Linked DNA regions of Oryzias latipes. The protein of the gene in region 1 interacts with the protein of each later gene in a pairwise test. Links are inferred from orthologs where the notes say so. Each region holds a gene or a part of one and is shown on either strand. Other genes may lie near its edges.

What was found.
Region 2: the proteins of rabac1 (region 1) and ras-related protein Rab-33A interact in binary tests that used the Homo sapiens proteins (3 or more experiments, as listed by UniProt). The two-hybrid records come from large-scale screens. The link is inferred for Oryzias latipes from reciprocal best matches to the Homo sapiens genes RABAC1 and RAB33A.

What each region holds. Positions count from the first base shown.
Region 1 is NC_019874.2:20,935,019-20,939,982, forward strand, and holds the start of rabac1 (prenylated Rab acceptor protein 1), read right to left. Parts: upstream 3,355-4,964; 5' UTR 3,299-3,354; intron 3,085-3,298; 5' UTR 3,020-3,084; exon of another isoform or gene 2,972-3,019; intron 1,737-2,971; 5' UTR 1,723-1,736; coding exon 1,601-1,722; intron 1,223-1,600; coding exon 1,010-1,222; intron 835-1,009; coding exon 737-834; intron 582-736; coding exon 480-581; intron 1-479. Other genes in the region: dedd2 (DNA-binding death effector domain-containing protein 2), read left to right, coding at 4,701-4,964. UniProt on the Homo sapiens protein: General Rab protein regulator required for vesicle formation from the Golgi complex. May control vesicle docking and fusion by mediating the action of Rab GTPases to the SNARE complexes.
Region 2 is NC_019868.2:25,359,154-25,363,660, reverse strand, and holds part of ras-related protein Rab-33A, read right to left. Parts: exon of another isoform or gene 3,983-4,507; 5' UTR 3,948-3,982; coding exon 3,561-3,947; intron 1-3,560.

The DNA of each region.
Region 1 (4,964 bases):
GCTATCTAAGATAGCACAAGGGGCAAAAACATCCCCCTTTTCTGTTTCTCCACTTTTGCCTCTTTCTTAACCCTTGTCCTATCTTAGATGACCCCACCCTTACATTGACGTGTTCTCCCTACCATGACAAAGGTGGATAAAGGTGGAAAGATTTCATGTAATCCATGGACACCAATGAAGATCACAAATCATTGAAGAAAAAAGGTTCAGAGCACTGTCTGGTGGGTCTAGATGACCCAACTCCCAGTGGTAAAGGGCCTAGGATAGCACAAGGGTTAAGCCAGCCTGACCAAACCTGACCAAGTGCCTAAACCCCTGTTGAGGAGCAGCTCTCTATGTTCATGGAAGTTGCCACAACAGTATTCCTTTGGTTACCAACATAACTTGAGATATCAATGTAGCTCTAATTTTACAACTGAGTGTTTAAAGAGATGTTCTGGTGAACATAGAGTATGACGGAAACACTTAGTTTATCTCACCAAGAACCCAAAACACAGCAGCTCCAGCTCCAGCCAGCCAGAACACCGGCAGGGACAAGGCTCCAGCGAGACCCATCTGATGAGGGACATTAAGCTGTTTGCCTGGAAAAAAACAAAGTTGGCAAACACATGAAAACATAATTCTCTGTGGCTTTCTATAAGATTCTCCCATTTCATGCATGGCTGAAAAAAACTCTGAAAAAAAGTTTTTTCACTTTCAGGCAAGTTAAGGACAGCAGTTTTTCTGTTTTACTTACCAAGAACAACCAGTCTGGACTCTTGAGACTTCAGGTGGATTATGTAGAAGGCACCAAGAAACACAGCCAATGCAATCAGTAGCATAGGGGAGCTTATACTGACAAGAAAAGAAAAAAAAAAAGGCTCATAATGCTGTTACTGATTCAATCTTTTCTTTTTCTTTTCTCAATCCCGGTGGCCTTAGTGTGTGCAGTCAGTGTTGCATCTGTTATTTCATAAAACTTCAATAATGTTTTGAGGTAAGGCCAAAGCAAACTCAGGTTTACACCTACATGCAGTACAGGATGAGACCCAGGAAGATGAAGGTGTAGTTGCTGTTGTAAGTTTCCACATTTTTCACCACTCTCTGGCATGCATCTCCGAAGTTTCGTGGTTTTGAAAACTTGCGTTGGTCCACAAAACTGGCCCACGGTCGAATGGACAATCGGCGCCTATCAATCCACTCCTTGGCCATGCTGGCAGAGAAGCCTTTAGGGAGCCAGAGCCTACAAAATAAAGGTAAAATGGTAATAAAGCGTACAAACTCTCAAGGAAAAAGTCAATGCATTACAACTTTTGACAATATGAGCAAAACAAAAAAGTATTTTGTAGTTTGATTAAGGAAATTCTTAGAAACTTTGACAAAACAAAACTTTAAAAAAAAAAAAATTTTAAGTAATGAGGCACAGTCTACAGAACAGGAGGATGAGGATTTAGGACTAACTCCACCCCCAAAAGTGGATGTGTAAAGACAGTAACTCACAGAGCCTTAGCACCATTGCTGTGGTTTTTCTACAAACGCTGTTTAATGTCCACGTCCATCACCGAAGAAAGTTGTTTGGGTCACTAAACTCCTTTTTAAAAAAAACAAAACTGACTCGTACTTTGAAAGGATTCCAGCTCCACCCGTGCCAGTTGGGTGAGCATCTTCAGCCGTAAACAGATCTCCAGCCTTGCTGTCCATGTCCACTTGACAGTTCTCTCCCTTTGGTACTCCAGATGGCATCTGCAAACCTTCTCCTGAAAATAAAAGAAAATAGAATAAATAAAATAAAAGAAATAGTCTTAAGATTTTTCCTTCACATACTTTTTTTTCCCCCTTCTTCGGATCAGCACAAGATAAATAGTCCAAAAACTGTGTGGAAAAATGGCCTTCCTTTATATGGAGATAGATGTTTTTTACGAGAGATGAAGTGGGATAAAAGAATATTAACGTTTTTGAGTTTGAGGTTGTTTAATGAAGAGCCTAAGTATTAATAATAATTATAGAAAATCATAAAATAGAAAATATATACATATGACTGAAGACATATACCCAAATACTACAATGGGTAACTGAGTAAACAAATGAACGGAAGATAGAAGCTCAGGAAAGATCTGACTCCTTTTCTTTTCCTTTTTTGCCTATTGTTTACTGTTAACATGCAGATAAGTGCATGCCAAGTTTGCATGTGGGATGTTGTTACATCATTGGGTTTGTCAAGTGGTTTAAAGATTTTGTTTTGTTTAGTTTCTCCATTTTGCTTCTAAAGTTAATTTAAAAAAAAAAAAAAGAAAAAAAAAGATTGTCTTATTGGAAGTTTGCATTTTTCCTCGTATTTTTCAATGTACAAACGATATGTATCCTTTATAAAACATGTCAGAATTTTTCTGGATTCTTCTTTATTTTCCCCTGTTTAAATGGGAAATAAAACACCATACACCATACAACCATACAATCTTTACGATTTTTGTAACACTCCTCGAGGTGCATCAAAAGCAAACTTAAATAAATAAATAAAAAAGGAAAAAGGAAAGGAAAACCTGTTTACTTTATTTTTTAAAGGTAAATAACAATTGATATATTTTATAAAATGTGTTTAAAATGGAGAAACAGCAGTAACTACAAAAGAAAAACTACATGATCACTAGTTTCCACATTATTCTTAAGAGCATAGAGGTTAGATTTTAATTCAAACTTGTTCCTGATTGGCCAGAAACATAGGAGCGGATCTCGTAAGTGGAAAATTTTTGTCAACAGGGCTTGGTCACTGCCACATCACTGACAAAGGCCGAGAACTGAGCCAGAAAACGACATTTTGAGCAAGTAAAAATCTTTTAAGGATCAAATTTGTCCATATGTGTCGAATTATAAGTGGAATAACTTTTATAAAATGAATACTACCTACTTCTTCGTGTCTCATGTTAAATCAAACTGATTGTACGAAGATCACAGTAATTTATAAACATTGAAATGAAAAGACATAAGATTTTACCTTCGTGATGTGTCAAATGTCAAACCTACAGACGATGTAGATACTTACAGACCAAGTTATGGATAAAAAGCCAAGTTGTTTTGTTGCTGTTGGTCCTCACGGATGTGATGTGGCTGAAGAAGAAGAAGAAGAAGAAAAGAACTTCCTACAACACCAATGCCGCACACTGCCCCCTGCTGGTTGCACCAAAGAACTCCCCAGTCTATGATGTTATTTTTTCCCTTACATTTAACCATATAAAAATATTTTATTCATTCCTCTATTTAACTTTGAAGTCGACAAGAAATCAAAAAACATTTTTAGTGCCAAAGTGACAGAGATTACTACCTTGATTCTTTTAGGAACAATCTGGGAACAATCGGTATGTTAAGTGTGGCAAAAACGTGACCTTACGTTATGAAACCCAGCCCGAGAGCTGTGATTGGTCAATTTACGACTCACGTCTAGCCACTGTCACGTCGCACGTTGCATTGTGGAAGTTGCTAGATCATCCAGCGTCAGGCAAGCTATCGCGGCTGAAAGGTGAGGTCTAATGCACTCTAGGAATATTCTCTTTGTGGAAAATGTAACCTAATAGTGTTTTAAAGGCGCGTGTTTAACGTTACGCTGTATTAGTTGACGCCTTAGCGTCTGCTAGACTAATAAGTTCAGCGGGATTCATCATCATGTCGTCGCACCGACCGTCGTTGAAACAAACAATAGACCGTCTTATTTGTCTCTAGAATTGTTTTTCTGCTAATTTTGCGTGGTGTTACGTGAAGTATAACTGCCAACGAGCTCCTGTGTGTGTGTTTTTAATCGAACAATTGAAGAGCTGTGTGTTTTGTATGTGTTGTCCCCCACCCTACTGATTACATAACTCTGTTCAGAGGAACGGTACCGAGTCGGTAAAGATAACATTAGCAATTGTAGCTAGGCATATATGACAGTAATTAAACACATCTCGATGCATTTCATTATAGGTGGTAGCTGCTTGCAAGTTTGAAGAAAATCTTAAATAGTGAGTGTTCGTTTGTGGCACACAATGTACACACAAAGACTTAACATGACAACTACTAGCTACAATTAAAATACCCACTCCGATGAAAATGAAAATTTAGCTTAGAATTGCATTTCTGAGTATTTCTTTATGCAAACTGATGTGAATTAGACGCAAAAAGCTGTTGCAAAAAAACGTGTAAGTGTGACGTAGAAGCTACTACACCAACCAAGCTCCCTCACTGCTCCATTCTGATGCTTCATTCTGACACATTTGGGCTTCATTTTCCTCGTCTGAGCTGCCATCTGGCTCAAAACTGTACGGTTGGATAGCTCCAATATTGTTCACAATTTTTGTTGCACCACTAATGTGCAGTGGAAGTTGTGATTGTGAGGGGCTGTAAGCGAGTGTGTAAAGGGATGGTGGTAAGGGGGGGCTAACTCCATGCCAGCAGTCCTGCCCACGACTCTGGGGGGTTAATTTCTAATTAACTCCTGCCGCTATGCAGAAACCTTCCTAGAAAACAACACGGGGAACGCTTTGAAAATATTTTAAAAGATGATCGGAGTGGGGCCTTCAAATTGTTACGTTTTTTAAATGAAATTATTAATTAAGGAACCTGATACCATTTGTTTGGTTTCAAGTTTCAAACATAAACATGGTTAAAGTAATTTTTTTGTGTTTGTTTTCTTTTTCCCCTAAACTCCACAGTTTTATTTGAGTGGGAAACTTGGAAAAAAGGGGTAAACCATGGCTTCAATGAATTATCCTGAATGCACACTGAAGAATTCCTTATACTGGGATGAAGCAGAGTGCCTTAACTACTATGGGATGATGTCTCTTCATGAGATGTTTGAAATAGTCGGAGCTCAGCTGACAGAGACCGACATTGAAGTGCTCTACTTTCTATTGAATGAAACCTACTCAGCCAAACACCCCCTAGATCCGGAAGGCTGGACAGTTAAACCCTCAGAGGACAGTCCAGAGGACCCGGGTGCCAGCCCAAGTCCACAG
Region 2 (4,507 bases), on another chromosome or scaffold:
AACAAAATGCTTAGTCTCTATTGACTCTTCCTCTGTCTCCTCTCCTCCCCATACTCTGGGTTTTATCATTGACAGATGTTTATCATTCCAGTCGCATATTAATAAGTAATCAGTAAATCCAAGATCAATCATTATTGCCCTTTTATCAGCCTCTCAACTCTGCTGTTACTCTTGTCTTTTCAGTCAAGCTTCTTAAAAAAAAACTCTCCCATCAACTCAAGTTGGTTCAAACCTCAGTCAATTGCCTTTTTATCAAAACTCGCTCATTCCATTACATCGCCCTCATCTTAAGAATAACTTCACCACTTTTGGTTAATTTCAGCATTCAATTTAGAATCCTTCTGGACATTTCAAGGACATTTCCTATAAATTCCTGCCTGATCTTCTGCATCTCTTCCTGCTCCCTCAGATCTTTCAGTATCCCCTCATTGTGCTTTATATGGGTTCAAATCCCTCTTGTCTGACATCTAAAACATTGACTCTCCTCCAGTCTGCAAATTTTCAACTTATCAGGTTCAAACACCATATTCAATGCGCTTGGTACTCCTTCATTGTTTTGTTTTTGCATCTTGCTTATTTTTGTGTTTTTGTGCTTTTGTTATTCCAGTGCTTTTTGTGTACAATGTCCTTGGAAAGGCTTAGCCAATTGTCTTCTAGTTGTTTTCCCTCCACTTAGTGTGAATGCAAACCAAACCCAAGCAACAAATCCCTTCAAACTGAATCAACTGGAGTGTTTGGCTGTTAAAACACCCTTAAAAGAAGCTGCCAAAATTGAAATCTTTTGCTGTTGATGTTTGACTAACAGTTCTGGTATTACATCTTCAGCAGCCCTTATGAGAATATTGTGCTCTGCCATATTAGCACCAACTCTAAGCAAACTCTGGATATACAGTCTGCCTCCCAAAACTCCCCACATCTTAGGTCCTGCTATGATAAGACAAAAAATGCAATTTGAAGTTAGAAGTGTTTCACAAAATTTAATAAAGACGTTTGATAGTAAAAAACGAAAAGGCAAATTGTCATTCTTCTATAATAAGTCTATAATAAGTCTATGAAGACTCTCATTCATCCAGGTAGATTCCATCATAGTAATAGGTTTAAAGTCTGTCATGTGAAAACCAAGTCCAAAAGACAACCTTTAAACCCACTACTATAATAACTTACAGAACTTGAAATCTCAAAAATAGAAAACTTTTTTGGATACACTTACTACATTCCTAAAGCAGGGGTCTGTCACCATGAATCACCAAGATTTTGGTGAGTTTAAGAAATTTTAAACTATTGCATTAAAGCAGAATCAGCCCACGTGACAAAATATCAAAAGAATTTAAAGAAAAATATGTAATAAATCCAAAAGTCTGACTGCAGATTTACAAAAGTCACGCAATCAGGCATAATTATGATGTTTTCCTTTTTACTGTCAGCAGCAGATAAATGAGTAAAATTAGAAAAAAAACTATGGTTATTTGTTGCTTAAAAAATAAAACCTGTATAAAAAACGTTATTACATAAACGGTGCAGATATAATCCTCTGCAGCAGCAAATTATATATCAGAATTAACCAGTGGAACTAAAAAAAAAAGTGTTTTGAAAGAAATTTTCTCACAGAAATAACACAACAGGTTGCCATCTGTAGCCCTTGTGCTATCCTATGACTCCACCCTTACATTGATGTGTTCTCCCTACCATGATAAAGGTGGAAAGATTTCATGTAATCCATGGACACCAGTGAAGATCACAAATCATTGAAGAAAAAAGGTTCAGCGCACTGTCTAGTGGGGTCTAGATGACCCAACGTTAAAGTGCCAAGGATAGCACAAGGGTTACACTCTACAGTAAAGGTGAACACAAACCAAAGCGCTCTGCCTGTAACAGCAGCCGGCTCCCAGCTCTGAGTTTAGCCCTGCTGAATGATCTCCTTTCACCACGAGAGGACGAGCCTGAGGTGAGCGCATTAAGGCTCAGGGATGGCGTGAGGCACAAAATACTAAACCAAGATGACAGCTAATAGAAATTACTTTTTTTTTAAACTACAAAGGTTAATGGGTCTTATATTTAGAAGTTTCTCTGAAAGACTGTGGCACAGTGAGGACTGCAGTTCAAAATCAGCAGGTAGGAGACAGAGTTCCAGGTATATCCATATTGTGGTTAAGGCAGAAAGGATTTGGACAATATGGATAAAAATGAACATTTTTTGTTGTTTTAATGAACGCTAAATATGAATCCTCAGTAGCTTTCAGAACAGTGTTATAGATCTAACTACGGTAACTTCAATTACCTGCCAGATATCAGGTTAGAGTTACAGCATTGAAACTGAATATGTTTGTTTAGTGACAAGTGCAGTAAATAGGATTCTGTTTCAGTTCCATTTTTCTTTCATTCTTGATCAAAATGATTGGTGTTGCTGCATTTCTACTTGTAAATTAAGTATAATTTTTCCACAGATTACGAAGGCTGCTAATGCTCTTCTTAGTGCAGGTTTTTGAATTTTTGGTGCATTTTAGGAAAACAGATTATTAATACTCTGTAATACTATTTTTTGTATCTTTTGTTAAAGCATTCCCAGGCGTCTTTTAGTTATGATTAAAATTACGGGTAAAAGCCGGTGTCGTTTCCCGGGGCATTGTTTCTGCTGAGCGCCAGAAGTTCCTTAGAAATTTGCCTCTGAGCTGCAGGCAGAATTGTTGGCGTAGAGTGAGCCTTCCCTCATTTCCCATCATCATCGCTTTGTTTACAGTCTCTCCCAGCTAGCTTACAGCTCCTCCAAACCCCAACCTAATATAACCGGTGCAACAACAAACTTTTTCAAATTTCAACTGCTCCTGATTTAAGACAATTTGAATGAAAAAATGCCAAAAAAAATGCTATTTTAATCTCAATTTTCTTCATATGTGTCCTCCATTGTGAGAAGAAAGCTACAGAAACATGTTAAAACCACCAAAACACAATTTTCATTGGAGTGGCTCTATATTTTACTCACTCAATTATTCTTCATCTGCAGAACGTTTTTTTTTTTGCTCATTATGTCATGATGTTTTGCTGTCCGTCATATTGTGGAGGCAAAGTCGACGTATGTAGGAGCTGCAGTTTGCAGGAAACTGGTTGCCAATATTCATGTCAGACACCAATATCCTGTAATTCCGCTTTTTATTCTTGAGTTGTTTTTTTTAAGCAATAGATAGGACTTATTGGATTGTTTTTTTTGTGTTTGATATATTATTAGTTCATCTTTCAATCATTTAAAAGGATTAAGTCTGCAGGAAGTTTTTTTTCAGCTTTTGACTAATTTTCAGCAACTATTTGTTTTTTGTTTATGTTTTACATTTATTTTTACCAGACTGAGCATCATAATCCATTTCTTGTTTCTATAGTTTGATGCAGACATGGTGACATTTAACTGACACAGTCTGTTTTTGTTCTGCTGCAGACAAAGCCACACAGATTCCAGCCTCCCAGCTGAAACCTTCTGGAGATGTTTGATCTGCGCCACGAAGAGGATGAGGATGAGGAGGAGCGAGGAAACCCCCTCTGAACATCCACCCCCTCCTGGCTGAATTTACCTTGATGGTTTCTCCTTCAATCTCCACCGCCTTCTCCCTGAAATCCACACCGATGGTGGCTTCCGTTTTGTCGGGGAAGCTCCCGCCGGTGAAGCGGAAGGTGAGGCACGTCTTCCCCACGTTCGAGTCCCCGATGACGATGATCTTGAAGATCCGCGTCTGGATGCTCGTCTCCAGGGAGGAGGAGCTCAGCTCCACGGAGGACGTGAAGCTCGGGGCGGCGTCGTTGGCGCTGTCGGCCCGGCTCCTGCTGGCTCTCGGGAAATCCATGCTGGAGGTCAGGATGGTGACATTGTCGTCCGCGCGGCCTCTCCGCGCCGCTCCCATCCCGACTCCAGCGCCGCCGCCCGGAGCTCGGCTCTCCTCCTCCGGGGATTCGTTCGTCATTGTGTCCGTGGAGGAGATGGGCAGGTCGGTGTGTGCTGGAGAAGGAGCGGATGGAGGGATGAGGGAAGGGAGGGGGGAGAAGGAGGAGACCGGAGGCGCAACAATAGTGAGGATGCTGCGCTTCAGCTGAGGGAATCCTTAAAGAAGCAAGACGAGATCCAGAGGAGACGCGTCAGTTTTACGCAGCAAACATCAATGAAATCAAACACATTTGGTTCCAGTTCTGCCTCTACGAGCCTCTCATTGCTATATAACCTCACATTCTTTTTGTTTTTCAATGAATATGAGCTGCACTCAATCCAAAAATGTATAGATCCCAATCAATACTGGTTCTGCAACTGTCACCAGCTGTTCTTATAAAAAAAACCTTCATATTAATACAAAATAGTTTGGACTGCATATCACAATGTGTACATCAAGCACTTTATCTGCCCCTGAATCGCCTTCCAGCATCTTTGCAACTGAAGGGAAGCGCTGAAATCTGTTGGTTTTATTTGCTGGATGTATAAATTGAGCTTTACTTTGAATGCCTTCACAGCACTGATCATGTCACATATTTG